3 linked regions of the Macaca fascicularis genome follow. The protein of the gene in region 2 interacts with the protein of the main gene of each other region in a biochemical or structural test. Links are inferred from orthologs where the notes say so. Each region holds a gene or a part of one and is shown on either strand. Other genes may lie near its edges.

The links.
Region 1: the proteins of EZR (region 2) and NHERF1 form a complex in vitro, tested with the Homo sapiens proteins (2 studies listed by BioGRID and IntAct). The link is inferred for Macaca fascicularis from reciprocal best matches to the Homo sapiens genes EZR and NHERF1.
Region 3: the proteins of EZR (region 2) and ICAM3 form a complex in vitro, tested with the Homo sapiens proteins (2 studies listed by BioGRID). The link is inferred for Macaca fascicularis from reciprocal best matches to the Homo sapiens genes EZR and ICAM3.

The regions. Positions count from the first base shown.
Region 1 is NC_088390.1:81,139,055-81,141,798, reverse strand, and holds the end of NHERF1 (Na(+)/H(+) exchange regulatory cofactor NHE-RF1), read right to left. Parts: intron 1,722-2,744; coding exon 1,632-1,721; intron 1,401-1,631; coding exon 1,212-1,400; 3' UTR 516-1,211; downstream 1-515. UniProt on the Homo sapiens protein: Scaffold protein that connects plasma membrane proteins with members of the ezrin/moesin/radixin family and thereby helps to link them to the actin cytoskeleton and to regulate their surface expression. Necessary for recycling of internalized ADRB2.
Region 2 is NC_088378.1:67,101,710-67,105,815, forward strand, and holds the end of EZR (ezrin), read right to left. Parts: intron 2,416-4,106; coding exon 2,164-2,415; intron 1,980-2,163; coding exon 1,815-1,979; 3' UTR 617-1,814; downstream 1-616. UniProt on the Homo sapiens protein: Probably involved in connections of major cytoskeletal structures to the plasma membrane. In epithelial cells, required for the formation of microvilli and membrane ruffles on the apical pole. Along with PLEKHG6, required for normal macropinocytosis.
Region 3 is NC_088393.1:10,897,741-10,901,850, forward strand, and holds the start of ICAM3 (intercellular adhesion molecule 3), read right to left. Parts: upstream 2,937-4,110; 5' UTR 2,881-2,936; coding exon 2,805-2,880; intron 2,202-2,804; coding exon 1,935-2,201; intron 1-1,934. UniProt on the Homo sapiens protein: ICAM proteins are ligands for the leukocyte adhesion protein LFA-1 (integrin alpha-L/beta-2). ICAM3 is also a ligand for integrin alpha-D/beta-2. In association with integrin alpha-L/beta-2, contributes to apoptotic neutrophil phagocytosis by macrophages.

The sequences.
Region 1 (2,744 bases), on a different chromosome or scaffold from region 2:
TCCAATCAGGTCACAATGGCCAGATAAGATAGAGGATCTGGCACCAGCCCAGCCTGCCCCTGGGAATCCTGCACCCACTGGCTGTAGGCAGAAAGAGTAAAGCCAAGTCCTTACATTCCAAACCCAGCTCCATCCTGGGACACACTTTCCACGCTTCTGGAATTACAGGAACCTCCCAGAGTCCTCTGAGCATGTCTGAGCTCCCACTTCCTCTGGTAAATGTCCCTATTAGTCGAGGGGTCCCTAGCCCACATCAGTGCTTACAGCCTGGGACACAGGCACGCTCAACACCGGCTGGGTACATGCATCCTCCTTCCCACAGGACTTCCGCAGCTAGGCCCTCTAGCTAAAGCTACTCAGGCTTGGGGTCACAGAGAGCCCTAGATGGCCCTCCCTCCAGTGTACGCCACCCTCCCAGCCAAAGACCACCCTGGCTTACCATTTCTCACTTTCTACCTATAAGGGGTCCAAGGCCAGAGGACAAAACTCCCAAGGAAGACACAGAGGCTGGAGGGTTTGGAGGAACCAGCTGAATTTCTGAAGTGTTTCCTTACAATGGTGGTACCTGGTTCAGGGATGGGCAGGGGTAGCCAAACCCTCCCCGTGCTGCCCAGTTCTCTGAGGGTGGGAGTAGGAACAAAAGTTTAAGGCTGAGGCCACTGCCATGCCCTGGATGCAACAACCAGGAAAATCATGTTAATCAAGGAAACAAAAATTCCTCTAGACTCTGCAATACTGCACTCTTAACAACAAAAATCAAATGAAAGCAAGATGTGTCTGCCACAGCTCTCAGGATAACGGATGCCCTGTCCACTGAGAGTGGCAGTTCTGCAGTCAATGATCAGCCCTGGACCCAGTTATCACACGGGGGAGGAAGGAAAGGTGCCCTCTCGCCTGGTCCCACGATCCTGGCATGGTGCAGGTCCCAGCGATATCCCAGGCAGAGTGGCAAAGGGACACCTGGTAGGATGAGGCACTCAGTGAGGAGGAGGGAGGCAGAGTCTCCTTTCTAATTGCAGGATGACGGGAACACATTCACCTTCCCTAAGGTAAGGGAAGAACATAGTTCTCTAGAAAAATCATTTGTCAAGAAAGGGCATGTGGGTGCTGATTTGTACGTTGATTCAGGGGAGTAACTGGGGAGAAGGAAAAAGGTGGGGTGGAAGGCTGGCTCGGCCCTGCCAGTCACCGGGTGGCTGGCAGCAGGGCGCTCAGAGGTTGCTGAAGAGTTCGTTTTTCTTGCTCCAGTCCATCTGCGGGGCCCGTTTGCTGCTGCGCTTCTGGTGGGCCCTCTCTTTGGCCATGGCCAGGGAGATGTTGAAGTCCAGGATGGGGTCGGAGGAGGAGGTAGACGAGGGCGCTGTGGAGTCCTGTTTTGGGGGGCTGTCTTGGGAATTCAGCTGTAAAGAGAAATGGGGGCAGGAAGTTGGGAGTCAGTCCCTCATTAGGCTCCCTGGTCCTCAGCCTCAGTGAGGTGGCTCCCTTGGGGCTGTGCCCAGGGAAGCCAGGTCACAAGAACAGAATGCGGCTCAGCATGTGACCTCAAAGGCAGGCTGGTGTGCCAGGAACAAGTGGGGCCTGGGAATCGGCTTCCTGTAACCCAGTTGCTACCCCCTGCATGGCTGGCCTACCTCCTCGCTGGTGTCACTGGAGGCGGATCTCACCAGGGTTGGCCTGGGGCTCTCTGAGGCTGCCTCTGCCAAGGCTTCACGACTGTTCTCCTGGCAGAGAGAAGAGGGGTGTGGGTTGTCACAGGATGGGGTGAGGGAGTCCTGAGGCAGGAGGGAGCTCCTGGGGAAGTAGGGGCCCCAGACTGAGAAGAGGTAGCACTGATGCCCTGGCCACCCACCCCGGGTTCCCACCGCCTGAGCCTGCTGGGGCTCCTTTTTACATTCCTTCGAGGATCAGAGGGCAGGCTGGTTCTGCTCAGGCTGGAGGGATGGGAGGGGTACAGATATCATGGGATTAGCGCTCCCTCCCCCTGGGCTGCTCCAATGTGGCTTTTAGATACTGACTTGCCTTTTGAGCCAGTGACCAGGGAGGGGCTTCTTGGAATGTGGGGACACTGGAGGCCTCTTTGCTTGGCATGGGGAACCCATGTGGTGCTCCCTGAATCTCCTGTGGTCCACCTGACTGTTTGCCTGGATTTGACCCCAGGAATCCTGAAACCCTAACCCTGAAGCAGCAAAGGAGGGCCTTGAAGGAAGAAAGTAGATGGAACGTTCTAGATCCAAAGATGAGGTGACAGAAGGTTTAGGCCTGGGTCCAAGGACCCTCCCCCTTGTCAAGTACCCTGGCAGGAGCTCCTAGGGAAGGGGAACCTTTGAGCAGACCCTGCAGAAAGTTCCTACTCTGTGGCCTGACTGAGTCGGCCTGTCCCAGAGTGAAGGCTTTGGCTGGGGCATCAGCTTGGCACCCAGCCCCTTCCTGGGTTCTTCCATGGCTTCAGCTGGCGCCCAGCCCCACCATCTCTTCCCCAGCCTCACCCCCTTTCCCTTCTGCCCAGGGAAGGGGGGAGGAGGGGCTTTGTTCTTCCAACTCAGACTGGAAGTAGCAGGGGCCCGGCTGCCCGTGGCCAGACACTGAAGCTCTGTTCTTGGGGGGAAGAATGGCCCCTTCTGTATGGTGGGGAGTTGGAGGCGGGGGCTTGTCACCCAGGATGGCGGGCTGCAGAGGGGCCCAGCCAGCCCTCTCCCTCCCAACAGCTTTGGCCCCAGGCAGAGGCCAAGAGGGTTCTGGCAGTT
Region 2 (4,106 bases):
CCCTGACTACACAACTGTGCTCCAGCCTGGGCCAAAGGAAGACCCTGTCTCAAAAAAAAAAAAAAAAAAAAGTCACAGCTTAAAGGAGCATTTTATTTTTTTGAGATGGAGTCTCCCTGTGTCGCCAGGCTGAAGTGCAGTGGCACAATCTCAGCTCGCTGCAACCTCCAACTCCTGGGTCCTAGCAATTCTCCTGCCTCAGCCTCCCAAGTAGCTGGGATTACAGGCATGCGCCACCACACCTAATTTTTGTATTTTTAGTAGACGGCCTTTCACCATGTTGGCCAGGATGGTCTCCATCTCCTGACCTTGTGAACCGCCTGCCTCGGCCTCCCGAAGTGCTGGGATTACAGGCATGAGCCACCGCACCCGGCGGTGAGCAGCATTTTAGAGGAGCCTGGTGAGTTGGAGTGTCCTCTCCCATGGAAACTGTCTCCAGAGGAGGTTAGGTGACCTACGGAGCACCATGTCTTGGGTTGGTCAGCTCTAACTTACCAGTGTATCCCCAGGGACACCATGGCCCCTCACAAAACCCAGCCGGAGGACAGCATAGAGCCCAGGCAAGTCGGCGGTGGCCCTCCCACCCCACACACAAGTACACAGCCATGCTGCTTCGTGCCTTTGCAAAGCTTTTATTTCATGTCTGCAGCATGGAATCCACCTGCACATGGCATCTTAGCTGCGAAGGAGTAAGCAGTGCACGAGAAGGAACGAGTGGGCAGAACCAATGGCCTCCACAAGCTGCCTTCCAGCAGCCTGCCAAGGCCATGGCAGAGACTACAAACAAACACAAGCAAACAGTCTCTCCATGGCTGGAGTCTGAAAGGTCATAGTGGCATGTGTGTATTTGACAAAATTAAAAATGTGCATAGTCCATTATATGCATAAAACACTAACAATAAAAATCCTGTTTACACGTGACTGCAGCAGGCAGGTAACCAGCTTCACCACTGCCCTCCTGCCACATCACATCAAGTGCCATGGTTAGAGGGTTTTTCATATGTAATTCTTTTATTCTGTAAAAGGTAACAAAATATACAGAACAAAACTTTCCCTTTTTAAAACTAATGTTACAAATCTGTATTATCACTTGTATATAAATACTATATAGCTGATCATTAATAAGGTGTATAAGTACAACAATGTATTCTAACTGTTAAGCAAAAAAACCTAAAAAAAACCTAAAAAAAACCTAAAAAAAATTTATCCAAGTGTCCTACATACACCACTCACGCTGGTGATCACTGCTCTCTGCCAGCTGCGTGGAGTGACGGAAGGAGGGAATCATTGTGTGTGTATGTGCCAGAGTGCTTCAAACTCAATTTCCCAAAAAAATTTTCACCCCTCAAAGCATGTAAATATACAAAGATGGATCCTTCATAGAAATTAAAAACAAAAACCAATTTGAGCTCATTTCAAATACAGAACAAGTATGGCACAGATGGAAGCCGCGGTTTCCTTTAACGATGCTGACTCTCGTATCACACAGGCCAGCATGAAGTTTCTTACTCAGACTTTACAGGCATTTTCCGTAATTTAATCAGTCCTGCTCCCAGCACAACACAGGAGGTGATTTGAGAATAATCGCAAGAATCAGGCCTGCTTGGCACTATGATACAACTGGGGAAAACCAACCAGGGCGCCTCCCTGGTTCCCAACCCAGAATGTTTCTGTTGGGTAACTGCTTTTTAAAGGAACTGGGCTTTTGGAGTTCCTAGACTCGGAGCACTAAAGACACAAGCGTGGCGAGGCTGGCAGCGCCGGCGGCAGCGCCCGCTGTGAGCGCCCCTCTGCCCTTGGTCCTGGCCTGGCCATTACAGGGCCTCGAACTCGTCGATGCGCTGCTTGGTGTTGCCCTGCCGGATCTGCCGCAGCGTCTTGTACTTGTCCCGGCCTTGCCTCATGTTCTCGTTGTGGATGATGTCATTGTGGGTCCTCTTATTCTCATCTCGGGCCTGGGACAGCTCGCTGCTCAGCGTCTGCAACATTAAGCAGCATTGGTCAGGTCCCTTCCTCCCCATATGGCCCAGCCCCTCCCCTAGGAAAATGGGAAGGGCAAGAGGGGTGCTAGGTGGGGCTGGCTCACATCACTGCCTTCCCCAAGCCTGTCTGCTGCAAGAGCAAGGCGGGCCCCCTAGAGACACACAGCCCCTTGGGCCTCACCAGCAGCTGCCGCTGCACACGCTCATTCTTCTCCGCCTCAGTGATACGCTTCTCCTCATTGCGGTCATCCCGGATGCCCTCACTAGACAGCTCTGCACTGTAGCCCGTGGGCTCCGCACCCTCATCCTGCAAGCTCTCCTGGACATGGTAGCTCAGTGGCTCGTACATGGGGGGTGGCGGGGGCGGGGGTGCCGTCATCACCAGGTGTAGCTCCTCCTTGGTCTTCACCAGGTCATCCTGGGCTTCTTTGGCCTTTGGAAAGCAAAATTAGTAGGTGAGAACTTCTCACCCAAAAGTCCTATCCTCCTGGCTATAAGAACCAACTGTTGCCTCCCTCTGTCCTGGCACGCTAAGGCAGCACTAAACCGTGCTGGGCCATGGCTTCGAAGAAGAGCCCCTCAAAGTGCATGTGGGGTTGACAACCCTCTGCATCCAAGACAGGAAGAGGAACTGTGATGCCGGAGCCTGGGCAGTTTTAAAACTACCATTTCTTTTTTTTTTCTGTCTATAACTCTAGACGTTATATAATTTTTAGGAAAAAAAATCCTGTTAAATGAGTAACAGGCTCTGTTCCCAGCCTCCCCTCATGCCACGGTCATTATCAAGTGGTCTCCTGCTCACCACTTGCAGTCCTTCCAACAGCGTCACACATGCCCAGTCCTGCCCGCCTCCATCCCAGCCCTGGAGTCGAGCTTAGTGTGGATCTGCGCTGGAGCCAGCTCTCCTCACTTACCTCTTAACAGGTACTTTCTCAAAAACCTAAGAACCAAAGTCTTCTGCTTGCAACTTCGGATGGTGATATGGCTGTGTCCCCACCCAAAGCTCATCTCCAACTGTAATCCCCACATGTCGGGGGGGGGGGGGTTTACCTGGTGGGAGTGACTGGATCGTGGGGTGGTTTCCCCTATGCTGTTCTCGTGCTAGTGGGTGGGTTCTGAGTGAGAGCTGATGGTTTCAGTGTTTGGCACCACCCCCCTTTGCTTTTCTCTCTTCTGCCCTCACGTAAGAGGTGTGCCTGCTTCCCCTTCACCTTCTGCCATGACTGTAAACTTCCTGAGGCCTCCCCAGTCATGTGGGACTGTGAGTCAATTAAACCTCTTCTTTAACTACCCAGTCTCAGGTAGTTCTTTACAGCCGTGTGAGAACAGACTAATACAGATCGGCAGCAGGAATGGGGGCTGGAACAAAGGCAAGGAGGCACTGGCCAGAAGTGGCCCTGGAGAGCCAGGAGACACGTCCCCAGAAGGCACCACCACAGATGGAGAAGCCACAGTGGGGGAAGGACAGGCCAGAGGATCTGTGAAGGAGAAGAGCTTCTTAAAGCCTGGTGTGCAGTCTCCAATGGGAACCATCCCCAGACTTTCTCAGGGGCTGTGCCTTCCTGGAGGGCAGAGGGGATCCCAGCTTCTCTCTCCCAGAGAGAAGCTCTGTGTGCGTCTCACAGTGACAGCTACAGCTGATTAAACCTCTGTTTGCCAGGTCCTGGGCATGGGACCTCACATCTGCAGAGCAACTTTATGAGTTGGGTATCACCCCCATTCTACAATAAGGAAAATGAGGCTGGGAGAGGTGATGCTACTAGCTCCCCGTCAGATAGCTGATGGGCAGCAGAGCCCGGCTCTTGCTCCAGCCGAGAGAATTCCAAGGACCTGGATCTTTTCATGGTGCCCGCTATATATACCAGCTGCAGGAGGTTGTGTTTCAGGCACTGCGACCCCATTGCAAGGTGCACATATATAATCAGATTTAAAACCAATTCAGATCAGCTGTCAGAGGAGGCTGTCAGATCAGCACTGAACAGTTTGGGGTGGAGGGAGCAAGGTCGTGAAAGTCAATCAGAAGTCCTCCCTCTATGAATCCAGCAGCTGCAATGACTCAAGTACAAAGTCAAACCCATCTCTTTGGGGATGTCTTTTTTTTTTTTTTTTTTTTTTTTTGAGACG
Region 3 (4,110 bases), on a different chromosome or scaffold from region 2:
TTTTTTTTTTTTTTTTGAGACGGAGTCTCACTTTGTCGCCCAGGCTGGAGTGCAGTGGCGCAATCTCCACTCACTGCAAGCTCCGTCGCCTCCCGGGTTAACGCCATTTTCCTGCCTCAGCCTCCCTAGAAGCTGGGACTACAGGTGCCCACCACCACACCCGGCTAATTTTTTTGTATTTTCAGTAGAGATGGGGTTTCACGGCATTTGCCAGGATGGTCTCGATCTTCTGACCTCGTGGTCCGCCCACCTCGGCCTCCCAAAGTGCTGGGATTACAGGTGTGAGCCACCACGCCCGGCCCCAGCTAATATTTTTTATTTATTTTTGTGGAGACAAGGTGTCCCTATGTTGCTCAGCCTGGTCTTAAATTTCTGGGCTCAAGCAATCTTCCTGCCTTGGCCTCCCAAAGTGTTGAGATTATTGTTGGGGTCAGGCAAGGTGGCTCACACCTGTAATCCCAGCATTTCGAGAGGCCAAGGTGGACAGATCACGAGGTCAGGAGTTAAAGACCAGCCTGGCTAACATGGTGAAACCCCATCTCTACAAAAAATACAAAAATTAGCTGGGCATGCTGGCGCATGCCTATAATCCCAGCTACTTGGGAGGCTGAGGCAGGAGAATGCTTGAACTGGGACCCGGGAGGCAGAGGTCGTGGTGAGCCAAGATGGCACCGCTGCACTCCAGTCTGGGCTACAGAACAACAGACTTCATCTCAAAAAAAAAAAAAAAACTTGTTGGGGCAGGGTGCAGTGGCTCATGCCTGTAATCCCAGCACTTCGGGAGACCAAAGCAGGCGGATTACCTGAGGTGAGGAGTTCAAGACCAGACTGGCCAACATGATGAAATGCCATCTCAGGCGGGCGCAGTGGCTCAAGCCTGTAATCCCCGCACTTTGGGAGGCCAAGATGGGCGGATCACGAGGTCAGGAGATCAAGACCATCCTGGCTAACACGTTGAAACCCCGTCTCTACTAAAAAAAATACAAAAAACTAGCCGGGCGAGGTGGCGGGCGCCTGTAGTCCCAGCTACTCGGGAGGCTGAGGCAGGAGAATGGCGTAAGCCCGGGAGGCGGAGCTTGCAGTGAGCTGAGATCCGGCCACTGCACTCCAGCCTGGGCTGGACAGAGCCAGACTCCGTCTCAAAAAAAAAAGAAAAAGAAATGCCATCTCTACTAAAAATACAAAATTACCCGGGTGTGGTGGCGTGCATGTGTAATCCCAGCCACTCGGGAGGCCGAGGCAGGAGAATCACTTGAACCCAGGAGGCGAAGGTTGCAGTGAGCCGAGATTGTGCCACTGCACTCCAGCCTGGGCAAAAACAGCGAAACTCTGTCTCAAAAAAAAAAAAAAAAAAAAAAAAATGCTGGTTGGGGCCCAAGTTAATTGATTTCACAACTGCTGCCTTGGCATGAGATTGAGATGTGTCTCTATGTCTTTGTTTTTTTTTTTTTTGTTTTTTTTTTTTGTTTTTTTTTTTGTTTTTTTTTTTTTTTTGAGACGGAGTCTCGCTGTGTCGTCCAGGCTGGAGTGCAGTGGCCGGATCTCAGCTCACTGCAAGCTCCGCCTCCCGGGTTCCCGCCATTCTCCGGCCTCAGCCTCCCGAGTAGCTGGGACTACAGGCGCCGCCACCTCGCCCGGCTAGTTTTTTGTATTTTTAGTAGAGACAGGGTTTCACCGTGTTAGCCAGGATGGTCTCGATCTCCTGACCTTGTGATCCGCCCGTCTCGGCCTCCCAAAGTGCTGGGATTACAGGCGTGAGCCACCGCGCCCGGCCTTGTCTTTGTATCTCACACACACAAATATCCAGGTCTGAGCTCTGGGTCAGAACCCTGGTCCATTCTTTGCAAACTGAGGGTCTCCATTCTCCTGAGCCATCGGCCACCTGCCCACACCACTACCCAACACCAGTCCCACCTCCGGACACATCGACTCACTGTACACGGTGATGTCAGAGAAGGCTGTTATCTGGGAGCCATTGCAGTACCCTGAACAGAGGATCCGACTGTTGCCAGTCACGTTGCTGAGCTGGAAGGCTGCCCAGCCCGTGCCATTGTCCACCAGCTCCTTTGATAGGGACGTCTCCAAGATGATTTTCTTAGAGCTGGGGCAATCAGTACTGCAGTTCACCAACAGGGACCCTCCAGCAGGAAACACAGGGTTCTGGGGCTCCACCCGCAGCAGGAACTCCTGCCCCTGGGCACCTTCAGGAACATGAAGAAATCCTGGTGTTCGTTTTGTTGCCCCCCAACCCGTGTATCAGCAGGCCCCACCATTTAACACCTCTTTCCTTGTGCCGAGATAGAAGGGTTCCCGCCCTCATGGTCCAGTGGGAAAGGCAGAATCCATCAGGGACCAGGGAGAACTCAGAAGGAGGCCAGAAGAGACTCTGATCCAGCATAGGAGGAGGTGAGTCAGGGAAGGCTTCCTGGAGGAGGGGACCATGCCAGCCTGAAACTGAAAGCTAAGTAAGAGTTAGCAAGTGAAAGGGACAGCTGATCCTGGCAGAGGGAACCACATACGCAAAGGGCAAATTTCAGGAGTTCAGATGGAGCAGGAAGCGTGAGGGGTGTGTGTGTGTGTGTGTGTGTGTGTGTTGGGGAAGAGGGATGGCGTAGAAGCCGTATGCTGGGGCCTGACCACCTGAAGGCAGAACTAAGGAACCAGAACTTTCTCCCGAGGATACGGGGTCAGCAGCCAGGTCGCAGTGTGGCAGGATGCAAAGAGTGTTGCATTCTCTTCCTCCACCTTCTACTGAGCCCCAAAACCCAGCCCTCTCCAGCCCTCCTGGGCTTGACCAGCCTCACCTGGGGTCAGCAGACAGCAGACCAGCAGAGTCCAGCAGGCCCCGGGCCACGATACGGATGGTACTATGGTGGCCATTCTGACAGAAGAAGGGGCCTTCCTGAGGTGCCCCAAGGGCAGGCAGGGGGAAAGGCGGGGCCTCCCACTGAGACGGAAGCACAGCGGTTAAGATTGCAGAAGTCTGGGGATTGCACCTTACCCAGGCCTGTGGGGAGAAGGGGATGCTATGGCCCTGGGGGGCTAGAATGGGGGACCCAGATGGGGCTCTGCAAAGTGGCCAGCACTGCTGAGTCTCCCCCAGGGACAGGGCTGGTCTCAGTTGCACTGCTGGCCCCCAGTTCCTAGCCAGGAAATGCTAACTGAACTGGCTTCCTTTGTTCTCAGCACTGGGAAGCCTGGGTGTGGGGGTATGAGGCATCTCCTTCCGGCTGAACTTAGGTGGGGAGGGGAATATTCTGTTCCCAGAGAGGAAGTTAATGGGGGAAACCTGTAGGCACCACTGTTTAGATGCTAAGGTGGGATTTCAAGGAAACATAAAACAAACAAACAAACAAACAAAAAAACCAGAAGCAGAGTCTTGCTATGTTGCCCCGACTGGTCTTGAGCTCCTGGCCTTGAGATGGCCTCCTCCCATCCTGACCTCCCAAAGTGTTGCGGTTACAGGCGTGAGCCACAACGCCTGGCCACCTTTGAAGATCTTGAGGACATCTCCCTATCTTTGAAGATTTTGGGGATCCCCCCTCCCATGCACGAAGAGCTAAGGTAGGTGATTTGGGGACAGCTGAGTCCCTGAGCCACTGTCTTTCCAGGATTCGATTTGGCTTTTGTTTTGTTTTGAAACAGGGTCTCACTCTGTTGCCCAGGCTGGAGTGCAGTAGTGGGATCTCGGCTCACTGCAGCCTCTGCCTCCCTGGTTCAAACAATTCTCCTGCCTCAGCCTCCCGAGTAGCTGGGATTACAGGCATGTGCCATCATGCCCGGCTAATTTTTGTACTTTTTGGTAAGAGATGGGGTTTCACCATGTTGGCCAAGCTGGTCTCAAACTTCTGACCTCAAGTGAGTCGCCTGCCTTGGCCTCCCAAAGTGCTGGGATTACAGGCATAAGCCACCTCACCCGACCTTCCAGGATTCTACTTGTAACTGGCCTTTACCTCATCCTGTTGCCCCCTTGCCCACCTTTCCAGGCAGCTGGTCACTTCATTCCAAGGGAAGGCACCAAGGGGACCAGGGGGGACTCCCACCTTTGACCTGCCGCTGACCTCAGGCCTCTGACCTGTCTTCTGGGCCTAACATCTGAGCACCAGAGAG